Linked DNA regions of Notamacropus eugenii. Each later gene encodes a partner of the first gene's protein in a complex. Links are inferred from orthologs where the notes say so. Each region holds a gene or a part of one and is shown on either strand. Other genes may lie near its edges.

The links. Proteins that work in one complex are often made in the same cells at the same time.
Region 2: the proteins of PRPF40A (region 1) and SF1 are in contact, whole or in part, in an NMR structure (PDB 8PXX), measured with the Homo sapiens proteins. The link is inferred for Notamacropus eugenii from reciprocal best matches to the Homo sapiens genes PRPF40A and SF1. Residues at the interface, in NP_001352526.1 of Homo sapiens: His164, Ser166, Tyr172, Tyr174, Ser181, Thr182, Trp183, Tyr213, Tyr215, Ser222, Arg223, Trp224; in NP_004621.2 of Homo sapiens: Pro575, Pro576, Leu577, Pro578, Pro579, Gly580, Ala581, Pro582, Pro586, Pro587, Pro588, Pro589, Pro590.

What each region holds. Positions count from the first base shown.
Region 1 is NC_092876.1:210,020,722-210,031,597, reverse strand, and holds the start of PRPF40A (pre-mRNA-processing factor 40 homolog A), read left to right. Parts: upstream 1-6,634; 5' UTR 6,635-6,893; coding exon 6,894-7,295; intron 7,296-8,338; coding exon 8,339-8,470; intron 8,471-9,779; exon of another isoform or gene 9,780-9,811; coding exon of another isoform or gene 9,812-9,859; intron 9,860-10,876. Other genes in the region: ARL6IP6 (ADP-ribosylation factor-like protein 6-interacting protein 6), read right to left, coding at 2,735-2,803, 5,456-5,879.
Region 2 is NC_092873.1:17,539,552-17,550,438, forward strand, and holds the start of SF1 (splicing factor 1), read right to left. Parts: upstream 5,001-10,887; 5' UTR 4,815-5,000; coding exon 4,784-4,814; intron 4,473-4,783; exon of another isoform or gene 4,343-4,472; intron 4,000-4,342; exon of another isoform or gene 3,841-3,999; coding exon of another isoform or gene 3,822-3,840; intron 3,397-3,821; coding exon 3,268-3,396; intron 687-3,267; coding exon 611-686; intron 1-610. UniProt on the Homo sapiens protein: Necessary for the ATP-dependent first step of spliceosome assembly. Binds to the intron branch point sequence (BPS) 5'-UACUAAC-3' of the pre-mRNA. May act as transcription repressor.

The sequences.
Region 1 (10,876 bases):
AGCAAAGGGCTTCTTAAACTTTTTCCACTCATGACCCCTTCAGTTCTTCCTTAAACTGTGGGTTTAAGTTTAAGTTTAAGAAGTGCTACATAGTGTTCTGGAGCTGCAGGCAGTCAGTACAATGTCATAGACATACAATGCAAATAGAAACAGCTGAAGGACCTTTCATTTAAAGGAAACATCTTGTCTTTTTGAATTTTGCTCTGGATATCCTCCAAACAACCCCAAACACTTCTACAGAATAAATCTTACACCTTGATTGATGCCAATATGGGGGGAATGATAAACAATCTCATCTCTGTGGTTGTACCTGTCACAGAGTCTCAAACACTTAATATATGCATACCATGTACTTTGCTGAAAGCCTTCTGAAGATGCCTTTGGTTGTATTTCAAGTAGCAAAGGATACACTAAGTTTTAAGTCTAATTAGAAAATATACATGAAAGGAAAATGCCAACATATGTCACCAAAAAACAAAACAAACCAACAGAAGAGGCTCTAAAAGAGAAGAAAATCCTTTTGCCCCCTTTCCAGAAATATTCAACATACTCATTATTCAAGCAATAGTCTCTTTCAGTAGCTATTTAGAAGACTGATTAGTGGCTACTTAGAAGACTGATTATTTGCTTCTGTAAAGCAGAAAAAAATATTAGAAACGGAAAGACACCAATTTTGCATACTAACAGGTTATTTTATTAAGTTTAGCACTGTGGTCCACTCAAAACAAATAAATGGCACAAATGATTAAAAAAAGTGGCATAGCATTCTGATGACTTAACTTCTGGTTCCAAAGTGCTATTGCCTTTTTATAGGAACAATGTACAAACCCATATACGTGTCTATAAACCAGTTATCCCCATCCTCTCTAAAAGCCCTGGAAAACACAGATACACAAATTTAAGAAAGAAGTTAGATTATCTTCACTAATTTTTCTAATGCTCTCAAACAACATTTCCCAATATATATTTTGATTCAATTAGTCAGCTGGGTAGCACAGCAGACAGTGTGCTGGATTTGGGATTCAGAAAAGACTTGAGTTTAAATCCCACCTCAATTATTTAATAGCTAAGTAACCATGGGCAAATCATTTAACCTCTTGTGACCTCAGTTTCCTAATCTGAAAAGTGGGGATAATAATTAGCACTATTTTACAGAGGTATTGTGAGGAGCAAATGAGATAAACATATAGTCTGCAAACCTTAAAGTGCTATATAAATGCTATTACTATCACTGAGACCATTTGCGGGAAATGTAAGAATTGTAACTCTACTAATCTACCAAAGTGGCTTTGTGGTCCTTGTTTTCTTCTGAGTTTGCCATGGACTTTAAGCTTCCAGTTACTTTTTTGCTCTCACTTAATTTTTATGGTTACATTACAAAATAGTAATGGCAAGATTTTGAAAGACAACTTCCTGGAGTTAGACCTCAGTAATGATATATGGGACGTAGGCCTCAGATGAGAGGCTTAATCATTTCCTACTCTCTGGGTATGCCAAATAGCTCTGGTATCATAAATGACCTAAGAAGCAGAGATATAAACCAATCAACAAAGAAGAATTTTGTGAACATTGAAAAGAGGCAAGCTTTTCAACAAGATGAAGGATTAACTACAGGAGAATGAGTGATATGATAAATAAAAACAGACTCCACAGAAAGATGGCACTAGTCAGAGATCACAAGGCTGTGAGTCTATTATTCAGTAAAGCTGAAAACCAGCTTCTCCTATGGATAGAATCAGCCTTAAAAGGTTAGTAAATATGCTTCAGACTAACTTTAATAAGTGAGCCTTTTCACACTTTCAGAAACAGTAAAGGAGATATATTCAATATTGTAGGAAAACAACTTTAATGACTGGAGCCAGAGGAGCAATGTCTTCAACCATTTGGGAGGCCAGGGAGGTTTAGCTCAGAGCCAAAAGAAATCCTAGGAAACAGGCCGAGATATGATTCTGGGAAGGATTAAAAAATTTTTTTTCAAGATCTGGTAAGCATTTAGATCCTAAATTTCCTACATGATACTAAGTGTCATCTTTTTTTTGTTTTGCATACAATACCAACAAGGTTGAGGTTCAGAAGAATAGACACCTTATAATCTGTGCTTGCTGAGGTAATCTTTGTCTATATGATAACATATTGAAAATGTGTTTATTTCTATGATTTGGAGGGAAAGGTGTGATTTTCCTAGCTGTTGGTGTTTTGGTTTTTTTTTTTTTTTTTAAATATTAACCCTGTCTTGGCTCTAAATCAAATTATCCATATCTCATTTAGGACAGTTTAAGGCAATCAACTTCCTTGCGGCTAGTTAAGAGCCATCTAGTAAGGGCCTAGAAAGATCCTGTGAAGCTAGAGCAGAAAAAAAAGCCAGTAACTCCTTAGGGAAAATGGGAATAGTTGTAGACTTTGATAACTTAACCTACTCTCTCAAATACTTCTATCCAAATATACAAAAGTATAATGAGTACTTTTTCTACTTCTCATCCAGTGACAGAATAGTAATAAAATTTTCTATTTTGTTAGGGAAGGAGAAATGTATTCATTTACTGTTACATGATGAGTGTAAGTCACCTTACAAATACGATGTAAATACCAAAGAAAGGAAATACGTTAGTTAGGACTGAATGCTATTACTCCTTCATAGAACATGTTTTATCATTTGGTGTTAATCCCCTGACTTTGATTTGCACAATAAATTTCACATCTGGGAAGAAAGCAAAAAATCTGGTAAGCCAATTACCTATTTTGTTCATACCTAATAAACCAGTTTCTACACCATCTTCAGTCTTCAAATTCTCAGCATGCAATTCTGTAAATACAAAAGGAGGTTTAGATTGGTAAAAAAATTTAGTTCCTAATAAATCAGAAAGCACTTATTCATCAACTTTGTGAAAGGAACCTGGACTTTAAAAATAAAAAAAACCAGCCCTCAAGCTTATATTCTAGTAAGTGAAATAGGTATACATACAAAGACATACAAAGTACAAGGTAATATTGGAGGATGAGGGAGAGTTGTGATCAGGAAAAAACCTTGAGTAGGAATTCCTGAGTTAAGTGTTAAGCAAGGTTAAGGCTTCTAAGAGGTAAAGGAGTAGAAAGCTTCAAAAGCACAGACAGAACGTCACACGTAAAGGACAGTAAGGAGGCCAGTTTGCCTAATTTAAAGAGTTTTGAAAGATAGGACATGTAATAAATCTGGAAGGTAAGGTGAAGTATTTTTGTATCTCAAAGGCATATGATCTTTTGTGGAACATGTCAGACCTATGCTTCATTAATATCACTTTGGCAGCTCTGTGAAAGACTGAGAGGTGAGACGCTTAGAAGACCAATAAGGAGGCTTTGTAATAGGCCAGATAAGAGGCAAATGGCTGCAATGGAAAGAAAATTACAAGTAACAGATGCAAGAGCTTGGGGGGGCAAAAAAATTTTCATGACTAGCCAACTGACTGGATAAGGAAGATGAGTTTAGAGTGATTGTGAGCTCTTGTAAGGGGGATAATAATACCCTAACCACAAATAAGGAAATTCATTAAGAGGAAACAGCACTGACAGGAAACATCAGAGGAGTATTTGGGGGTGGAACTTAATCCTTCAAACATTATGATAAATTGTCTTTTCTGTATGAAACCTACCATGGACACTAGGTAGCAATGCCTTCCATTAGGAATCATGCAAAATGAGGGGGGACAAAGTGGATTCTGGATTGAGTTCCTAACAAAGATTTTTTTTCATTTTTATTTTATCTCTGCATCCTGACTTTCCTCAAGTCCCACCTTCTGTAAGAAGCCTTTACTAGTCCTAACTTTAGAGCCTTCCTTCTGAGATTATTTCCTATTTATCCTGTATACAATCTGTTCATACAGTTGTTTGTATGTTGTCTCCTCCATCAGACTATGAGCTCTTTGAGGAAAGGGGCTGTTTTTGGCCACATATTTATCCCTAGGACATAGCAAAAAGTAAATACTTATTGACTTGACTATATGTACACATAATCCTTGTAAAGTTTCACATAACTAAGGTAGGTAGGTACTACCTTCCTTTTATTTAAAAAAAAAAAAACAAAACTCCAGACATTGATAAGATAAATGGTCTAAATTCAGACTAGTGTTTCCAAACTTTTTTGATTCTGTATCTCTTATCAATAAAAAAATTTTTGAGCACCTACCCCTAATACACAAATTTACTTATTTATAAGTTATAAAGGTGCTACTGTACTAATTATCTATATTACAAAATTTTCACAATATGATGAAATAATATCTGATCCTATAATACAGAACTATAGGACCAAGTACAGGAGTGATATGCATGGTCAGACCAGCATTTCAGGATAATAATCCCTTTGGCAACTGTGTGTAGAACAGACTGGAGAAAAGAGATCTGAGACAAGAAATCAATTAGGAAGTTACTGCAACAGCAGGGGATGATGAAAGCCTGAAATACGGCAGCAGCTGGGGGTAGAGAGAAGGGCAGTTTCAACTGATGTTGTACTACCAGCTAATATAGTGCTCAGGTTTTAATTAGGCTATAACCGTCTAGAGCCCAAATAAGACCAAAAGGGAGAGACTGGGAGGGTGCATAGCTATGGAAGGAATCATATTGTTAGGCAGTAAAGGATGAAGAAGGGTTAGTATATCTGACTGGAAAACAATCCTAGGGAGGCAGGTGATTATGAAGTGGAGGGTGAGATGTGATCCATCTAACTACTGCTGGATCTCCACTACTAATTTTACTATGAAAGTGCTTGAAAAGTATTTGTTGGAAGTATAAGCCAATGAATTGCCATTTTTAAAAGAGCCCCTAACTCCAGCACTTCCATATCATTGGTTTTCCGACTTCCATAAAAGATGATAAAAAAAGATTTTTTAAAATGGCAATGACAAGTAATAAACTGAGCTAATAGCAGCTTCCATACAATGAAATCAGTATGCTTAATCGCTCTGGGACAGTAGTTGGTGAGTATCTGGGGGGCTCTATCAAATCTGGCCTCAGACTCTCCCCAGAGATGTCTTAACCCGGTCTGCCCGTTTCCTCCTCCGTAAAATGAGCTGGAGAAGGAAATGATAAACCACTCCAGTATTTTAACCAAGAAAATCCCAAGCGGGTTCCCAAAGAATAGAACACTGAGATGACTGAACCAGTGGGTCGGTAAGGTATCCGAGTATTAAGACCCCACCTCCCCACTCGCCCTCCGCAAACAAGCCTTTACCAGTCCTTCCTCTGAGACCGTCCCCCATTTTAACCTGTACAGACTTGAATCGTTTCCATCTAGTTTTCCCAGTATTAGACAGAGGTCCTTGAAGGCAGGGGCTGCCTTCTGCCTCTGTCACCAGCAGCACTTTGCACAGTGCCTGGACAAGTACTAGCTGACTAACGGACAAGCCGAGGTCCCACGCCCCTCCACTCGGCCGTCGGCCCGGCATTGCTCGGCGCCCCCACGCTCCCCGGGCAGTCCCAGTACCTTTCACGACCATGTAGACGATAGCTAGCAGGAAGGCAAGGAGGGCGGCGAAAAGAAGAGAACAGACCACCGACAGGACCCGCACCGGCCACCGCTGGCCACGGGGAGTTCGGGCGGCCTCCGGGACTCTCACGGTCACCCCATTCTGTTTCTGCAGCTGAGGCGGCGGCGTGTCCGCCAAGAGCTCCGCTCGCAGGTCCCGAACCACTTCGTCCACCCCTCCGTCCTCGTCATCATCCTCGCCTTCCCCCCAGCTACCCCCAACCTGGGAGGGGGAGGCGTTGGCAGGCAGGACCAGGGAGGCCGGAGGCCCGAGTCCACGCTGGCGAATCGATCGGCTCCCACTAGCCAAGAACGACATGGCGGGAAAACGGACAACGGAACCCGGAAGCTCAGGGATTTCCTCCCTCCCCCTTCCCCCCATTAGCCAATTAGCGCCCCGAAGGCTCTCCGGGGCCTACCAAAAAAAGACCTGGGGGGAGCGCCCCAAGCATGGGGAGGGGGCCGCAAGAGCGCCCGGGAAAAGTGCAACGAGAAATGAACCCCACGCTGGGGACTGAGGGAGGAGGAAGGCAGAGGGAAGCAGGGGTAAACGGAGAAGAGGACGGGAGGGGAAAGCAGACATCTCCAACAGGACAGCGTCCCCCCCTCCCCCCACCGGCGGTGTAGGGTCCCAGCCCCCAGACCTCCGCCTCCACCACCGCGTAGCCTCCAGGCAAGCCGCGTGCCTCACGGCCCAGCAGGCCACTCCTAAGCCGCAAATTCGGGCGCTCGGTCCTAGCGCCCGCCGCCATTGCTGCCGTCCGCACCCCTCTGAAACCCCTTCCCTAGTCCGTCTGCTTTTTTCTTCCGTCGTCCCCTCTTAGGCACGCGAGGGGGCTTTCTCGTCTTCCGCCTACACGGCATCTTTAGCGCGCGACGGCCTGTCTCTTCTCTTGCCTAAACTGCTTCTTCCCATCCCCCTATTCGGCTTTCAACCTCCCCACTTCCACACTTCCCTTCTCGCGCAGTGCCGCGTCACGCTCGCCGCTCTTCACCCCGGCCATCGCGTGCTTCGCCAGTCTCGCGCTTTCTCACCCGGTGCCTTCCGCGTCCACGAGCCCCCTCCTCTTCCCCTCCTCCCTCCCCTTTTCCTCCCCCCTCCCCCGCCCAACCTCGAGCGGCGCGCGCGCGCATCCTGTCCCAGCCACCGCTAACGCTAGAAGCTGCTTCCCCCCCTCCTGGCTCCCCGGCGGCCTCAGGTTTGTGGGGCGTGCGTAACTCGGGTGGGGGGTAAAGGCGGCAGCCCCCCCACTGCCCCTCCCCCTACGGGGTGAGGTGGCTGTTAGGCCCGGGAGGCTGGGGCCTACGTACTCTTCTCTTCCCCGGGGGAAGTTGGTGGAGTTTTCCCGGCGGGGGACTCGGCGCAGAAACTTCCTCCGTCCCCCTCCCCCCCTCCATGCAGGCGACGCCGAGCGAGGCCGAGGCCGGGGGCGAATCGCCGCAGAGCTGCGTGCAAGCTGCGCGCTCTGATTGGACGGCGGGGAAGCCAGTCAGCTTATTGGCCCCGCTGATCCCGCCCCGCAGCTCCGGGCAGCCTCTACCCTTTGGCCCCAGCGGGCGCCAGCCACTCAGATCGCTCCTTGTTGGAATGTGTAGCGGCAGCGGCCGCCGCCGGAGCAGCCTCAGCCCGACGATGAGGCCGGGGACGGGAGTCGAGCGTGGAGGCCTCATGGTGAGTGAAATGGAGAACCGCCCTCCACCGCGGGGTCCCGGGAACGGGGAGCGGAGACTGTCCAGCTCGAGCCTCTGCTCCAGCCCATGGGCCTCTGCGGACGGCTACCTGAGGAGACGGCCCTCGGTAAGGGAGCGGTGGGGCGGGGGAAAAGCGGCACAATGAAAAAAAGAAACAGGAAGCCTTCTCCCTGTGGGGAAGAAAAAAAAAGGTGGACGGAGGAGAAGGCCTGAGGTGGCGGGATCTGGCTCTGACGGAGGGAAATGGAGGGCGGAGTAGCACAAAGGAAAGGCTGTGGGTCCCTGGGAGGTGGGTATTACTGTGGCGAAGATGGAGGAGGGAGCTCTGGACAGAACTGGTGGCTGGGTGGTGGCAGCAGAAGTCTGCTTTGGGGTGCAGGCCTGATTTGGCCAGGATAGTGAAGGGAGGAATGTGACTTGTAATGAAAGAAAGGAAAGAGTGAGCAAAGCTGGGTTGAGTTGCTAAGCGTGTAATTACTTTGTGTGATTGGGCACCTTTGTGGCCTAAATAAATTATTTGGATTTTATAAACTTAGTAAAGCAGGTACTCTTTCTATGGCACTTTTTGTACATAGCTTGCCGAATGGCCAACCAGCAGTAGTTATTTACTTTTAGAGCTGAAAGTGGTATGAAGTAGCTTTTCAGAGAGACAGAATGTTTTGATCTACCTTAGTAAGAATTTTTCGGGGAAATGACAGGTTTGACATTAGAAAAACAACCACAGGTAGCTTTTGTAGTATTCATTGAACCTTTTAAAATAACCCGTCATTTATTTGTAAGACAAAATAATTTAGTCTAAAATTTAAAAGCCGGCCTTGATACATAGGCAGAATAATAATGAGTTCTTTTCTTCCCCAGAATTGGTCTTAAAATGAGTTTTTCGTTTCCTTGGCATACTATATTTTAGCGCAGTAACTTACTAAGATACTAATTCTTTTTCGTCATTTTTGATTATCCATAAACAGGCAGTTTTTCTCCTCACTCTTCCCTCCCTTATAAAGTCCATATTTTATAAATGGTTAAGTCTCAAGTTCCTCAGTGTTGCCAAATACCTTACCACCTTACTTCAGTGATAACAATTCTTGATGCTTTGGGGGTGGGAAGACTTTATTGTTAATTGATGTTTTCTTCACTAACACTGTTTTTCAGATGGGACACCCTGGCATGCATTATCCACCCATGGGAATGCACCCTATGGGTCAGAGAGGAAATATGCAACCTGTACCTCATGGAATGATGCAGCAAATGATGCCCCCTATGGGAGGTCCTCCAATGGGACAAGTAAGACAGTTTTTAAAATTATATTTGCTTTGTAGCATTACTGTGATAAATAATTTAAAGCTTGGATAAGTGTTAGTAAATGAGTCTAAGATTCATATTTCCCCAAAAACACATTCAAAGGTTTCAAGTGAAATGAAATGTCGAATTCTGTCCGTAACCAGAGTTTTTGCTGTATTGAGGCTGTCGTCCACATAAAAATGCTCATCATTTCCATTTTGAATAGCAGTTTTTTGGTAGCTTAAAGGTTATGTTTTTAGTTGACTGATTGGATCTTTTCAGGCAAGTCAATTTTGTCTTATGCCCTAGCTGCAAATCTAGAAACTTTCTGTTCATTTCACCATGTCTTTTGTGGGTTACCCAACTGAGGTAAATGTATATAAGAATAGGAAAACCTACATCAACAACTTTGTTTAGGTGTTTGCCTTAGAATTTGAGTGTTATCGCATTTTTTGATACCAGAACAGTCTTCTTGCATTTTCCTGTTCCACATTGCTAATTTTCTGTAGGACATTTTTATTTTGAATTAAGAAAGTGCTTGTTGATTTTCTTCACTCCTATTGATGAACTATCCCTTCTCTCTCTAGTATAAATTGTAAATAGGAGTGATTTGTATCAGAAAGCTTCATTAGTGCTAACTCAGTGACCCTGTAGTGTTCTAATCAGGGAGAGTAACTAAATTCAGTAATTGTGACTGATATTTATACTTTAAGTCTGTTAGATGCTATGTGAAATATAAGTAGCTGGTTTCTCTCCATAAGAGTCTTGATATTGAAAAGTCATCAGAAATCTAGATTGTAATATCACATGGAGGCAATCAAGGGTGCTGAGTATGATCTTTCTCTAGTTAGTTTTGTTTAGTTTGATATTTGTTAAAAGATCATTGTTCATAGTGAAATTGCATAGCAGCCAGGAAGGAAAAAGAGTCCCTTTTTTTTTTTATTTTAAATTAAGAATAGAAAGGTTTATCACAAATACTTTTCTTCTGTGTAGTTTTTCTATAGTTAAACCAGTAAGTGGTTTAAAACTCTTTATTCAGAAGTATCTGGCCGAAGAGACTGGCTCTTTGCCTGTAGCATCTCTTTAAATAACTGAGCCATTGGCCTTCTGACCTAGGAACAACATAAGTTTCAAAATTCTCTTGGTGGTGGAAAAACAACTCTGTGATCCTTCTTCTGTTCCTTACAATCTCCCAAGCAGCAAGGAGCTCTTGGTTTCTTGATAGAGCTGCTCTAACTAGATATTGAGCTTTTAAAAAATATTTATTCTTTAAATGCTCTGGTTCTTATTTAAAATTAGTTTCTTTCCACAGAAAGATAAAATAAAACAATTTGCTACTGCCAGATGCTTCTCTCTTTTCTGGGGCCTTCTGTTTCCATTGGGCCAATCAAGGTAAGTTATGCAAGGGATTGACCTGCTTTTACCCTTGCTATGGTGCTATGGCACTATTTTTCAAAACCAAGACACTAGTTAGTCATTTTTTAATTAAATGCAAAGACTTTACCTTTTTATAATTGTTTTGGTTTGTCTTAGTATGCTGTCAGCTGGTCACAGTTTACCTTAAGGCCTTTCTCGTTTAGATGCTGAAGTGACCACTATCTTTTGGGGTTTATTTCCCAGTTAATTACATACTCTTTCAGACATTGGACAGTTGTGCTTTGTGGTTTTTCCCACGTTCTCTTCCAAAAGCCACCATGTCATGTGCTTGCACATGTCATTTGATTGCTCAAATTTTGAGGAGTCCATCTCTCTACTGACTCCTGTAAATATAACAAGTGGCTGTCTCAGGAATCTTCAACTCTGATCCACAGAGAGAATCTCATTCCATTACTTGCCGTAGATACTTATAGATGCTCCTATTTTTATTGATGTCTTTAGAATTTAAAAATGGAGCCCTGGATCTTGGCACAGCCAATTCTTGGTTATCAATGGTAACAGGAGACAGAGACAGCATGGATAATTAAAATCCATGGATGATTCAAATACTCCATTTAAACCCACACACTGTTAAACCACCAAAATATTACTAATAAATGGCAAAATTGTTTCACTTTTCATCTTCTTTCATTTCACTTGCCCATCCTCTGTAGAGGTATTCATGAGCAGTGAAATGGCTGGAAGTAAAAAGAAGTAAAAGCAAAGGACCTGTATGCATCGGAGTGCCAAAGTTGCGGGGGCGGGGTTTCTATCATATAGTTTAACCATTTCTGCAGTTTGATTAATAAAGTTTTGTCTTTGGGACTTAGAATTTGGGGAGTCTAGCTATGTGGTGGCTACTCTTCATATTTCATCCTAAGGTTGATTTGTAGGCTATGTGAAAAGCTAAAGTTGATGGCAGTCTTACATGTTCAGTACAAGTTAATGTGATTGATTTATGAAGTAAACTTCTTAAACTTTTTTTCTTATTTG
Region 2 (10,887 bases), on another chromosome or scaffold:
GCATTTCACCCCAAACAGATGAGAGACCCTAAGCCCTCCTCCCAACACCCCCAGGCATTGGCCAAAGCTGCAATATTATTAGCTGGCAGTGAAGGAAGTTGGTTAGAAATCTCATCTGACTTTAAAACCATCTCCAAACCATGAGCAGAAAACTGTCGTTATCAGCTACCCAGACTGAGTTTCTGGGCTGCTTCAACCTCAATGATGCACAAAAAAATGTGTTCTTAATCCTGCACCGTGTGTACCTGTGAGGAAGATGCTACATGGGCTCATGGCCAAAGCAGGCTCTGAAAGGTCAGTTAACTGGCCACCTGACTTGCCCTGTACCAGTATCAGGTTCAAATCTACATGCTTACCAATTGGAAACCAGTTGTCCATTTCTTGCGATTTTTGGTTTTGCTAAAAATTAAGTTTCATTCCAAATTTCTAACTGTTAACTGCTCAAATATATTAATAGAGAATTGTGTTTAAATCTTAGTTCCCCAAAGAGTCAGAGTACCAAAGGCATCTTATCAGGATTTCATTGAACTGACACATTATGTTGCCACCAAAAATGTATTGAGAAAAAGGTAAAAGCGTTACTGTCAGCTGGTTAAAACTGTTTCCCAACCTGTCCTCAGGGTTAGGGGGGATGCCCAGGTCTCCTGTGCGAAGTTTGCGAGTCAGGTCTTCTATCTGCAGTTGCACTGGAAGAAACCAGGTTAGGAAAGAAAAAAAGGATGGAAAAAAGACAATGTTACCAAAAAACATCTCAAATCTCAACATCAAAGCATGAAGAACTTGGAGACTTTGAAAGGGATGACTGACCAGGGAACAAACTGAGGAAAACCCCCAACCACCTACCAATCATATACTTCGGCAGGAATCCATTTATATCTCTAGCTATTTTTCTCTTCAGAGAAGGTTATCAATTGGGAAGCAAACAGTTTGTTGGAAGAGGTGTTAGCAATAAAGGCTGCCTAATGACTACAGCTAACAACAAAACAGTTCGTGGGGAGCTGAGATGTTTCTGCTCTACCTGTCCCAGTAACAAAAGCTTGCTCCAACTGGTAACAGAAATAAATCGTGGATGCCAGCAATACCCACCCCACCATATTATTCTCTTCAGGGTCAAAGTCTTTTTCCTTTTTTTCCATTAAAACAAGTAACGTGGTCTGTGCTGAGGACCAATTAATGAATGCAGGTACAGAAAGTGATACCAGTTGAGCAAAGATCATTTCCTTTCCAGTGTGGATTGTGCTACTGGGCATATTGAGTGTCCTTCCAAATCCCCTTAAGATAATCCAGAAATTCACAAACATCCTATTGCATACTACCCGGCCCATCCATATTAGGTAAAGCTGCCAATATACCTGCTATTCAAGTGTTAGATAACAAGCGATATACATAAATAAACCAATAGTCACAGATGCAAGAATTGTTTTTGGTTTTGTTTTTTACCACAAAGGTTTTAGGGGGACAGGCACAAAGGGCAAAAGGGAGTAACATGTGACCCCCCACCTTGGCTGTCGACATTTGAGGCTGTACAGAAGAAAGGAAGGTGAGGGTTTCACAATCGGAATAATGATAATAATCTACCAGTGGCTCTGAGCAACATTACTTGATTTCAGAGATAATGAGACCTGTAGTGCCTGGGGACACAATACCATTTTCCCCAAAGGTGTTTAAATAATCACCTACTTCTTACCTTTAAACCAACCAAGGGCAAAGGCCTGCAGAGCTTTTAATTGAATGGGACTAATAATGTACTTCCAACTCAAAGTATCTAGTTTCTTCTCTGCCACAGAAAAATCTCCAAGTCCAAACAGCCCAGGCTAAGTAGCCCAAGGTGAGATTCACCTTCATGATTATATTTTACTTACTGTACATTTTTACCTACTGAAATGTGGGTATGGGAGACAAGAGACAGAGTTTCCCTTGGACTTCTGGATAAAGCCCAAGACACTAATGACTTTAATGCAATTCCCTCCACCAGTGGTTGGTGGTGACTTAAGTTCTGTGGTTTGGGGTTAGCTAAGTTCTACCCTGGATTGCCCTTTGACTCTACACTGATTGCTGCTGTAAATAACTCTGGGGCTTTGTCCATTAACAACCAAGGGAGCCCAAGGTAAGGAGGAGTCAATAGAGCTGGGCTGCTGTCCAAGAATAAGGGCACAACTCTCCACTAGAGGGCAGGTTTTCCAGTCAGAAGGCCCGCATCTGGAGTCATGTGCCGGCCCCAAGAGGCCAAAACTCTCAGGTTCACAAAGGCAGAAAAAAAAAATTCATGGCACAGCCCCAAGAAAACACCTTTGCTGACTGCCTTAAAGAGGCTTCTGGATCTATTTAAAGCCACAGCCTCCTTAATGAAAAATGAATTGTTTAAACTGATTTTTTTTTTGACACCTGCACAAGTTGGCAAATAAACACAAAATTCTTGCATTAAAACCTTATATCAAAACATGAGACAAGTCACTTTGAAGTTTCAAACTTCAACTGCAATGTGGTAGAATTATTCCCAATACAGAGATAAATCTTTTAACACTTGAAATATCCTATCTCCCCATGTAATATTAGACTTTTTCAACTACCCAAGGCCAGCTCCATTCCCAAGCAGTATTCCTTTCCCAGCAAAGTTCTTTGTGAGCAAATACAAATGCCTTAGTTTAAAACAGTTCCAGAGACCAAACCAGAACAGATGCTGAAGGGAAGGTTAAATTTCTGGAACCAAATGTTAAGTAAAGATAAACCACCACCAAATTTTCTCTTAAGCACTTATGACGTTAAAATTCAGCTGTTACAGGTTTTTCTGCCCCTTTCAGGCCACACCATGGTACCATTGTGGAAGACGCTATATTTCTTGGGTAAAGAAAGGACCACTCGCTTCCACAAGTACCTGCTGACTGGGGTCCACTGGAAACCCTCACCTAAGAGGCCTCATTTTCCCCCCCTTTCTCCCACCTCTTTAAGTTCACTAAGCAGAGAAAATGTTTTGAGGGAAAATGAAGGTAGGGCTAATATTCTGTCCCAGGGATTCTACTACCCCCTATACACACACCTTCCTGGCACCCACGGAGAACCTGGCTGTCATGAACAGATGGGGACCGGGCTCAACAGTACAGTACTGGTTAAGCAAAAACTCGTGAGTTAAAACGTTAAGCAGTCATACCTGACAATAGCCCAAATCTTGAAAATGTAAATTTGTAACACTTCGTTCAGCAGTCAGTGACATTTCTCAGATGAACTAGAACGTGATTCAATATGTTTGCATGTAGAACGTGTATTTACCTATATAAGCTCTTTCTTGCTCCCTTGTAAGTCCAGGGGGGATGACAGTCGGCATTCCCGGAATCACCGTCTTCTGTTCCATTGTATCCTGGTTCCATCGGCTCCTCTTCCGCTTCTTATTTGGGAAATCTGAAGGCAAACGTGGTTCGTTAGACCCAAACAAAATCTATGAGCCCGCAAGCGTATACCCTACCGTGAGCCAAGGGAGCCCAATCGTGGCCCAAAAGTTGGATCTCCACCCGCCACCAACAATGAAAAAGCAGCCAGGAGAAACCTCAGGGGACCCCCAATTTAACCCTGGGTCACTACAAACTCCCAGACATTGTGGTGACCGGGACTTGACCAGGGACTGGACGAGGACCACTGGCTCACAAGGCTTCCCTCTCAGAGCCTCCTCTAACAAAGGGGGGGGGGCATTTGGGTAACCCTGATGCCCCCCCATCAGAGCACAGCCAGGCCCAAGGCTCAGCCCCCCCATACAGCCAAGGGCAGGCCCAGGAAGGGCGGCGAACCACCCTCAGCCCCCCCCCCCCCCCCCCGCACCCCGCTCTCACCGCCCAGGCGGCCCAGCATGGCCGAGGCTCCTCTGTGGGCCGTCAGCCCTCCTTCCTCACAGACCTATCTCACCCCATACGGGGCGGGGGCGCCCCGGACCCCTCCCTCTCCACCCGTCCACCTGGAGGCGCCCGCGGTGGAAGCTGCCCCCGCTCCAGCCCCCTTCCCCCTTCGATTGGCTTTCAAAGACGCGCAGGCGCACCAAAATGCCCCGGCTCGGCCTGCCAAGCGGACGGCGCCTGCGCACAGTGCTTCCGCCCCTGCCCTGCCCCCCCCTCCCGGCCTGCAGAGGACGGCGCGTGCGCGCCCTCCGCTCCCTGGCTCGGGCTGCGCGCGCAGGCGGCGGCGGCGTGCCCCCCAGCTCGGCCCCCCTGCCCCCTCCCTCCGTCCCCCCGCTGCGCGCGCGCCCCCGCCCGCCCCCGCCGCCGCGAGCCGCCGCCGTGGTGTCGCGCGCCCCTCGGGCGGCCGGCCTGTCCGCGCGCCGCCGGCCTCTCTCGCTCGCTCTCAGCGTCCGACTCACCTCCTCCCCCGCCGGCCGGGCCCGGCTGCGGGTCCTGGAGCGGCTGCGGCGGCGGCTGCGGCGGAGACACGTGCTGGAAGAGCGGCGGCGGCTGGGGCGGCTGCGGCGGAGGAGGCGGCGGCGGCGGCGGAGGGGGAGGCTGCGCCTGCGGCTGCGGGTACGCGGGGCCCGGCGGCGGGGGCGGCTGCGGCGGGGGCCCGGAGGCCGGGCCGGGAGTGGCGGCGGGCGGCGGCGGGGGCGGGGGCGGCAGCGCCGCGAAGGGGAAGGCCGCGGCCAGCGGCGCCGCCATCAGCCCGGGGCCCACGGGCCCCAGCGGCAGCCCCGCCCCGGGTCCCGGCCCGCTCCCCCCCGGCCCCGGCGGCGGCGGCGGCTCGAAGGCCCGCTTGGGCCCGGGCCCCGGGGGGAGGCCGGGCGGGGCCGCGGCCGGCGGGTGCAGCTTACCCAGCGGCGTGGCGTTCGCTCCGGTCGCCATGGCGCCCCCGGGGACCGGCGCCGGCAGCGGCTGGGGCGGCGAGGGCGGCTCCGGGGCGGCGACTTGGGCTTCGCGAACCTTCGCGGGGCCGCGGCGCGGGCGGCGAGCCTCCTCCGAGCGGACCGGACCGCACCGCACCGCGGAGCGAGCGCGAGCTCCTTCCTCTCACGCGGCGGGCGCGGCGGCGACGACGGCGGGCGGGCGGCGCGAGACGCACAAAGAGGGAGGAGGGGGGCGCCGGGGACCAGGGGGCGGGCCAGCGGACCGGCCTTCCGCCGCCGATTGGTGGACGTTAGGTCCAGGGCTGGGATGGGAGCGCTCGGATTGGCGGAACTGCGGCCGGGCGCTGGGTGAGCCGGGATTGGCCCGAGCCGTTAGGAAGAGAGAGGAAATGGCGGCGGGGATGGGAGGGGGCGCGGTGCGCTCTACATTTGTTACTGCGCGAACTGAGTTCTAGGCTACCTGGGGGTGGGGGTGGAGGCGAACTCTATGACGTCAAGGAGCAGCGGCCCTCTCATTGGCTGAACTGAGTACAGTCCATCAAGCGCAGAGGTGGGTCGGGATTGGCTGCACCGAGTTCTCGCCTCTCGCCCCGCCCCCCTCACCCTGGGGAGCAGTTTCCCCCTGATTGGAGAAGAGGTCACGGCCTCGGAGTCGGCGCCAGGCCGGGGCTGGGGCGGGGGGGCGCATGCGCACGGAGCCCCATGGCCTCGGTAGCTGGGCCGACTCTGGTTGCAGAGGTGACCCGCCCCTCTCTGGCTTAGAGATGCTCCCGGACCTTGGCTAAGTGCTTTGCCACGTGATCTCAGGTCCCGCCCCCCCTCGCCCCCCCCCGCTGACCTGAACGGAAGGGACCTAAGTGTCCATCCCTGTCTAGACAGGGAAACTGAGGCACAGAGGTGGCCAGGCCGCCTAGCCCAAGACCACGACCTCCCGGACAAAGGTCTGGGCAGCCCAGGAACTTGATTTCCTCTTCCGCCACAGTGCTGCTCCCCCCACCCCGTCCCTGGCCATCCCCTCTGGTTTTGCTGGGGGCGGGGAAGGGCGCGATGACGTCATTGCCCCGCCCCACGATCCCCGCCTCAGCGCCACCCTCCCCTCTATACCTACCGGACCCATTTGGACCCACGCAGCCCCTTGTCCTGGGGTGGAGACCCTCCCTGGCCGTGGCGGGATTCCGCTCCTTCCACCCCCCATGCTGGCTCCTCCCGCTCATAGCTGGGGACCTGGCCCCTAATTATCTCACCACCCTTCTGGCCCTTCTCCTTGCCAAGGCTGCCCCCTCTCACTCCCCCCGGGCTAGCGCCTCCATCAGCCCCCTTCCTTCTGCCTGCAGACGTGCTCACTCCTCCCCTTCCCCAAAAAAACCTTGCTCTGGAGGTGAGGGGGAACCTGCAGCCTCGAGGCGCGGGGCGGGAGGCCCCTGCCCTAGACCGGACCACCCCCCCACTGTTCTCCCTTTCTCAACCTCTCTGCCCCTGTCCTCCAGCTGAACCCCGGCCCTCTCCAGAGTCCCCCGTGCCCTATTTGTGCCAAGCCTGTCTTTGGCCTTTGATGCTGTGGACCATGCCCTTCTCCGGCTTATTCTTCTGAATCTCCCCACCCGCGTTGTGGGATCTGACCTTGGGGGTTCCTCCAAGACTTGGCCCTGGGCCGGGCTGGCTTTTCCCTTTACAGCCTCTCACTTGGTGATCTCAGCAGTCCCCATGGACCTGGCCCAGGCCCTTCCCTGAGCTTGTCTCACGTGAGACGTCTCAAACTGAATGTCCCAAAGACCTCTCAGACTCAGCCTCCCCTCCCACATGTCCCTATTTCGGTTCGAGACTTCCTAACCTCGGGAAAGGCTCGCTCTCCCTCGCTGCACAGATCCAACCAGTTGCCAGAGCTTGCCATTTCCACTTTCACAACCACTGACACCTTTTTTTCTACCCTGGAACCTACTAGCTTAATTCAGACCCATATCACCCTGAAGTCATTTCCCCTGAGTCAATCCATCCAACAAATCCATCTCCCACCTCCATGTCTTTGCCTTGGCTATCCCTTATGCCTGAAATTCGCTCCTCCTTAAAGAGTCCCTTCTCTGTCTTGAAAACCAAGCTTGAACCCCATCTTCCTCTCTAAACATTTCCTGACCCCTTCCTTCCACAGGATGTCGCATATATTTGTATTTATTCACATTATATTTATGCCCTATTCAGGGGTGGGGGACTTGCAGCCTCGAGGACACATGTGGCTTTCTAGGTCCTTGAGGCGGCCAAAAGACTTGTTTACAGAACAAATCCTTTTATCAAGGGGATTTGTTCTGTGAAGTTTGGATCAGCAAGAGGGCTGAACTTGAGGACCTAGACCCTGCCCTATATCTTTTCATATGTACTTAAAATCTCCCCATTTTCTAATATCTAGCATTCATTTCTTTTGTACTTGTACTCCCAGGACCAGATCTTTAGTAAAAACTTCATAAATGCTGGTTGATTTTATTGTTACATCTAAGATCAAATATAAATTCTTCAGCTTGGTATTTAAAGCTTTTCACAGTCTTGTTGTTCAGTTGTGTCAGGTTTTTCATGTCGAGATATTAGATGGTTTGCCATATTCTTCTCCAGTTCATGTTACAGATGAGGATACTGAGGTAAATAGAGTGAGGTGACTTACCCAGGGTCCCCCAGCTAGGAAGTATCTGAGGCCAGATGTGGGCTCAGGAAGGAGTCTTCCTGGCTCCAGACCTAGCCGCTTCACCCCCCTTCCCTGGTCTCTGGCCACCCTTTTGGACTCTGACATTTACAGCTGTTCCAAGAACAGACCCTCCCTCTCTTGGCTCTTGCCATTCTCTCTGGCTGTCTCTCAGGCATCCTACTGGAAACCTTCCCCAGCCCCTTAGTTAATTAATTCCTATTTATCCTGTCTAGGGCTCATTGGTATGGGATTGGTTTCAAGTTTTCTCACCCATTCAGCCAGGAGCCCCTCCAGGGCAGGGGCTGACTTTGGTCTTTCTTTGTATCCCCAGCACTTAGCACGGACTTGGCACTTAGCAGGTGCTTCATTGGGGTTGCCCAATTGTTGCCTTAACTAGGTGAGAGAATGGAGGAGTGAGCATTAACTTCCTTAGAACCATTCCAAACTGGGAGAGACTGGGTTATTCCATAAGCAATTTGTCTAAGTAAGAAAGAGAAAATCTCTGAGGAGGAGGGGGACAAGACAGGACACCAGGGAGGAAATTCAGAAGGTCTGGATTTCCGAGGTCGGTGCGAAGAGAGGAGGCCTAGGAAGTCCTGAGAAAAACAGGCCAGCCTTTTTCCAGCTCCCCCTTCTTCCATGCCTGGCGGTCCTCAAACACTCCCACGGGAAGGAAAGTTTTGTTACCTAAGTGTTTACAATAAACTGGATTAAGTTTGCAAGAGAAAGGAACCCAGCCTCTTCCAGGTAGGAGGGATTTTCCTGAGGGCTCAGAGCAATTGGAACTTTTCATCTGAAAACAAACGCAAAGCTAGAGAGGGGAGAAACCTGGGGACCTTAGAGCCCGTTTTATTGACTGCAAAATAAGTTAATTGCTTTGCCCAAGTGCTACCCCAACTTTCTGGTCTTCCAGGGTCCAGCCCACTGTCTCCCACCTAGTTCTATCTCCCACCTAGTTCTGTCTCCCACCTCCCTTGTCTTTCTGGGTCTAAGGTACACCCCACCCTAACACTCAGAAAGCACTTCAATGCTGGGTGACTGAATGATGAAGGGAATTCACATCTGTAAATCCTTCACAAACCTTAAAAGCAGTTGCTTAAACTTTTCTAACATGGAGCCAAACAACAGGTACTGCATGGTACATATAGTAGAGGTATAGACCAAGATAAGCACCAAGTAGAAAAGTCATTTGGGAGGGGGAGGCCTTAGAGACTGGGGTAGGGGGAGAGGAATGGTGCCCAGGAAAGGCCTCCTGCAGAGACAGTGCTCCATCTGAATCTTGAAGAAAGCCAGGAAGACCCGGAAGAGGCATCGGGAAACAGTCAGTGCACAGATGGGAATTAGAGTGGACCAGCAAGGAGGCCACTTAGGTCAGATCATAGAGGTCTGTGGACAATAAGGTCCAAGAACCAGGGACCAAGTTGGAAGGATTTGTATTTGATCCTGGAGGCAAGAGGTACTGCAGTCTATAGCAGTGTAGGACTGGCCTGGGTTAGACCTGCATTTTAGGAAAATCACTGGGGAAGGAACTGAGAAAAGATGATGCTCAACTTCCCCAGGTCACCAGAGCCAGCCAGAATCTGAGACTAGGAACTTTACCAAATGCATTCCAATAGATTTGCCGAGGATAGCAAATGGAAGAGTGTAGGAGGGTGTCTCATGCCCCCACCCCCTGGAATACAGCAGCTAACAAGATGTTCTACACCAGATAACTCTGTGGTGGAGAATATCTCCTTGATTGAGTTCTGGGAGCAAATATTTAAACTAAGTGTGAACAATCTTTAGATACCACTACTGAATCATTTAATTAATCAGAGCTATAAACTAGATGTGTACAAGAAGTGCTTCAGGCCACTGAATGAAATCAGATGGCAAGATGTATTAGGATTGATTAAAAATTCTAAATATAAAACTGCAAAATAATTACGAATGCCTTATGTAGGACATTCTGCAAAGATATAATCCAGTAAGACCTCACATGCTTCTTATCTGCAAGACTTCCTATTAAGTTTATTTTACAAATTTTGTTAAATAAGAAAATCATTTTTACTGAAATAAGTTGTAACTTGGAAAATGTTTAGTAGAATATAACAATCACCTATAAAGTTAATTTTTATGCTGGACTTTATTTGAATAAAATTTTGTAGTATTTGGTTGAATGCCAATAAACAGCCTTAAATCTGGTTCTGCATCAATTTCTGTGTTTTGATTTAAAACAAGAATAATGTCTTTTGTTCACACAAATAAGAGGTGGAAAATGGCAGGAGAATTTTATAAGTTTTCTGCTGAAAGATGGAAATTCATTTTTTTATTTCTAGCTGCCTAATCAATCATTGACAATTAATAGCTCATTAGAATATAAAGCATTTATTTATCTCCTGCCTTATCCCAAGTGTCGCATTAACTGGTAACTGTCCTCAGAGCACAGTTGCATATTTTTTTGTTTTTTTTAGCAGTGTTTGTGTGTAAACTAATCTTGGGAAGTGAAAGCTCTCTTCAGGCAGAGACTGTCTCTTTTTCCACAACTGGCGTACCAGTTACACTCTCATAGAAAGTACAGGAACACTGTCCAGTGTTGCTGCCTGGTCCAATTGAATATCCACTAGAGAAGAAGATAAGTTTAAACTTAACGTCAGCCTCTGGACTTCCGTGAGAGGCCACAGAAAGTGTTTTGATGGTCCATGACGGTTTCATCAGATGCCTTCCGGGGTGCTGCAAGAGGGCCAACCTGAGACTGTGATTATACAGCTGATGAGGTCTGATTACAGGGTGACAGAAGGGAATGAGGGAGCAGCACTGGGGCAGCCAGCAGAGTGCTGATGAGTCTGTGAGCACGCTTGCTTTCCACCATCCCTTGGGAGTCCATTTGCATTAGAATTTGAATCCTGGTGGTGACTTGAGAACAATTTGATGACAGGTTGAGAAACTGCAAGGACTCATCAGATGCCATCAGATTTTGCTGTAGCTGCAGCATGAACACCAAAAATTGTGTGCATGATCATGACAGTTTGGGGTCACTGCAGAAACAAACTCATGATGTCTCATGCACATGCTGGGTATCACCCAGGAAAAATATATTTGCAACATAATTGGACTATTATTTACCTCTCAAGGCTCCATTAAGGCATCTTTAGCACGTTTCCAGCTCCCAGAGGGGATTCCCTGAATTAGACACCCCTCTGGGCCTACACATGTCAGAGAAGCATTCTAGCAACTTCTTTCAAAAATTAATCTTTGAGATCACTTTGAGGACTATGATCAAAGGACAGCAGTGTGGGAGGGGAGTCACCCCAGAATTAGTGTCTCCATTCACTCCCCATTGACAGTGTCAGGAACATTAATGCAATCTGGCCACACTGAAAGGCATGTTTAGGGCGCATGACCCCTTCAAGAGGCTACA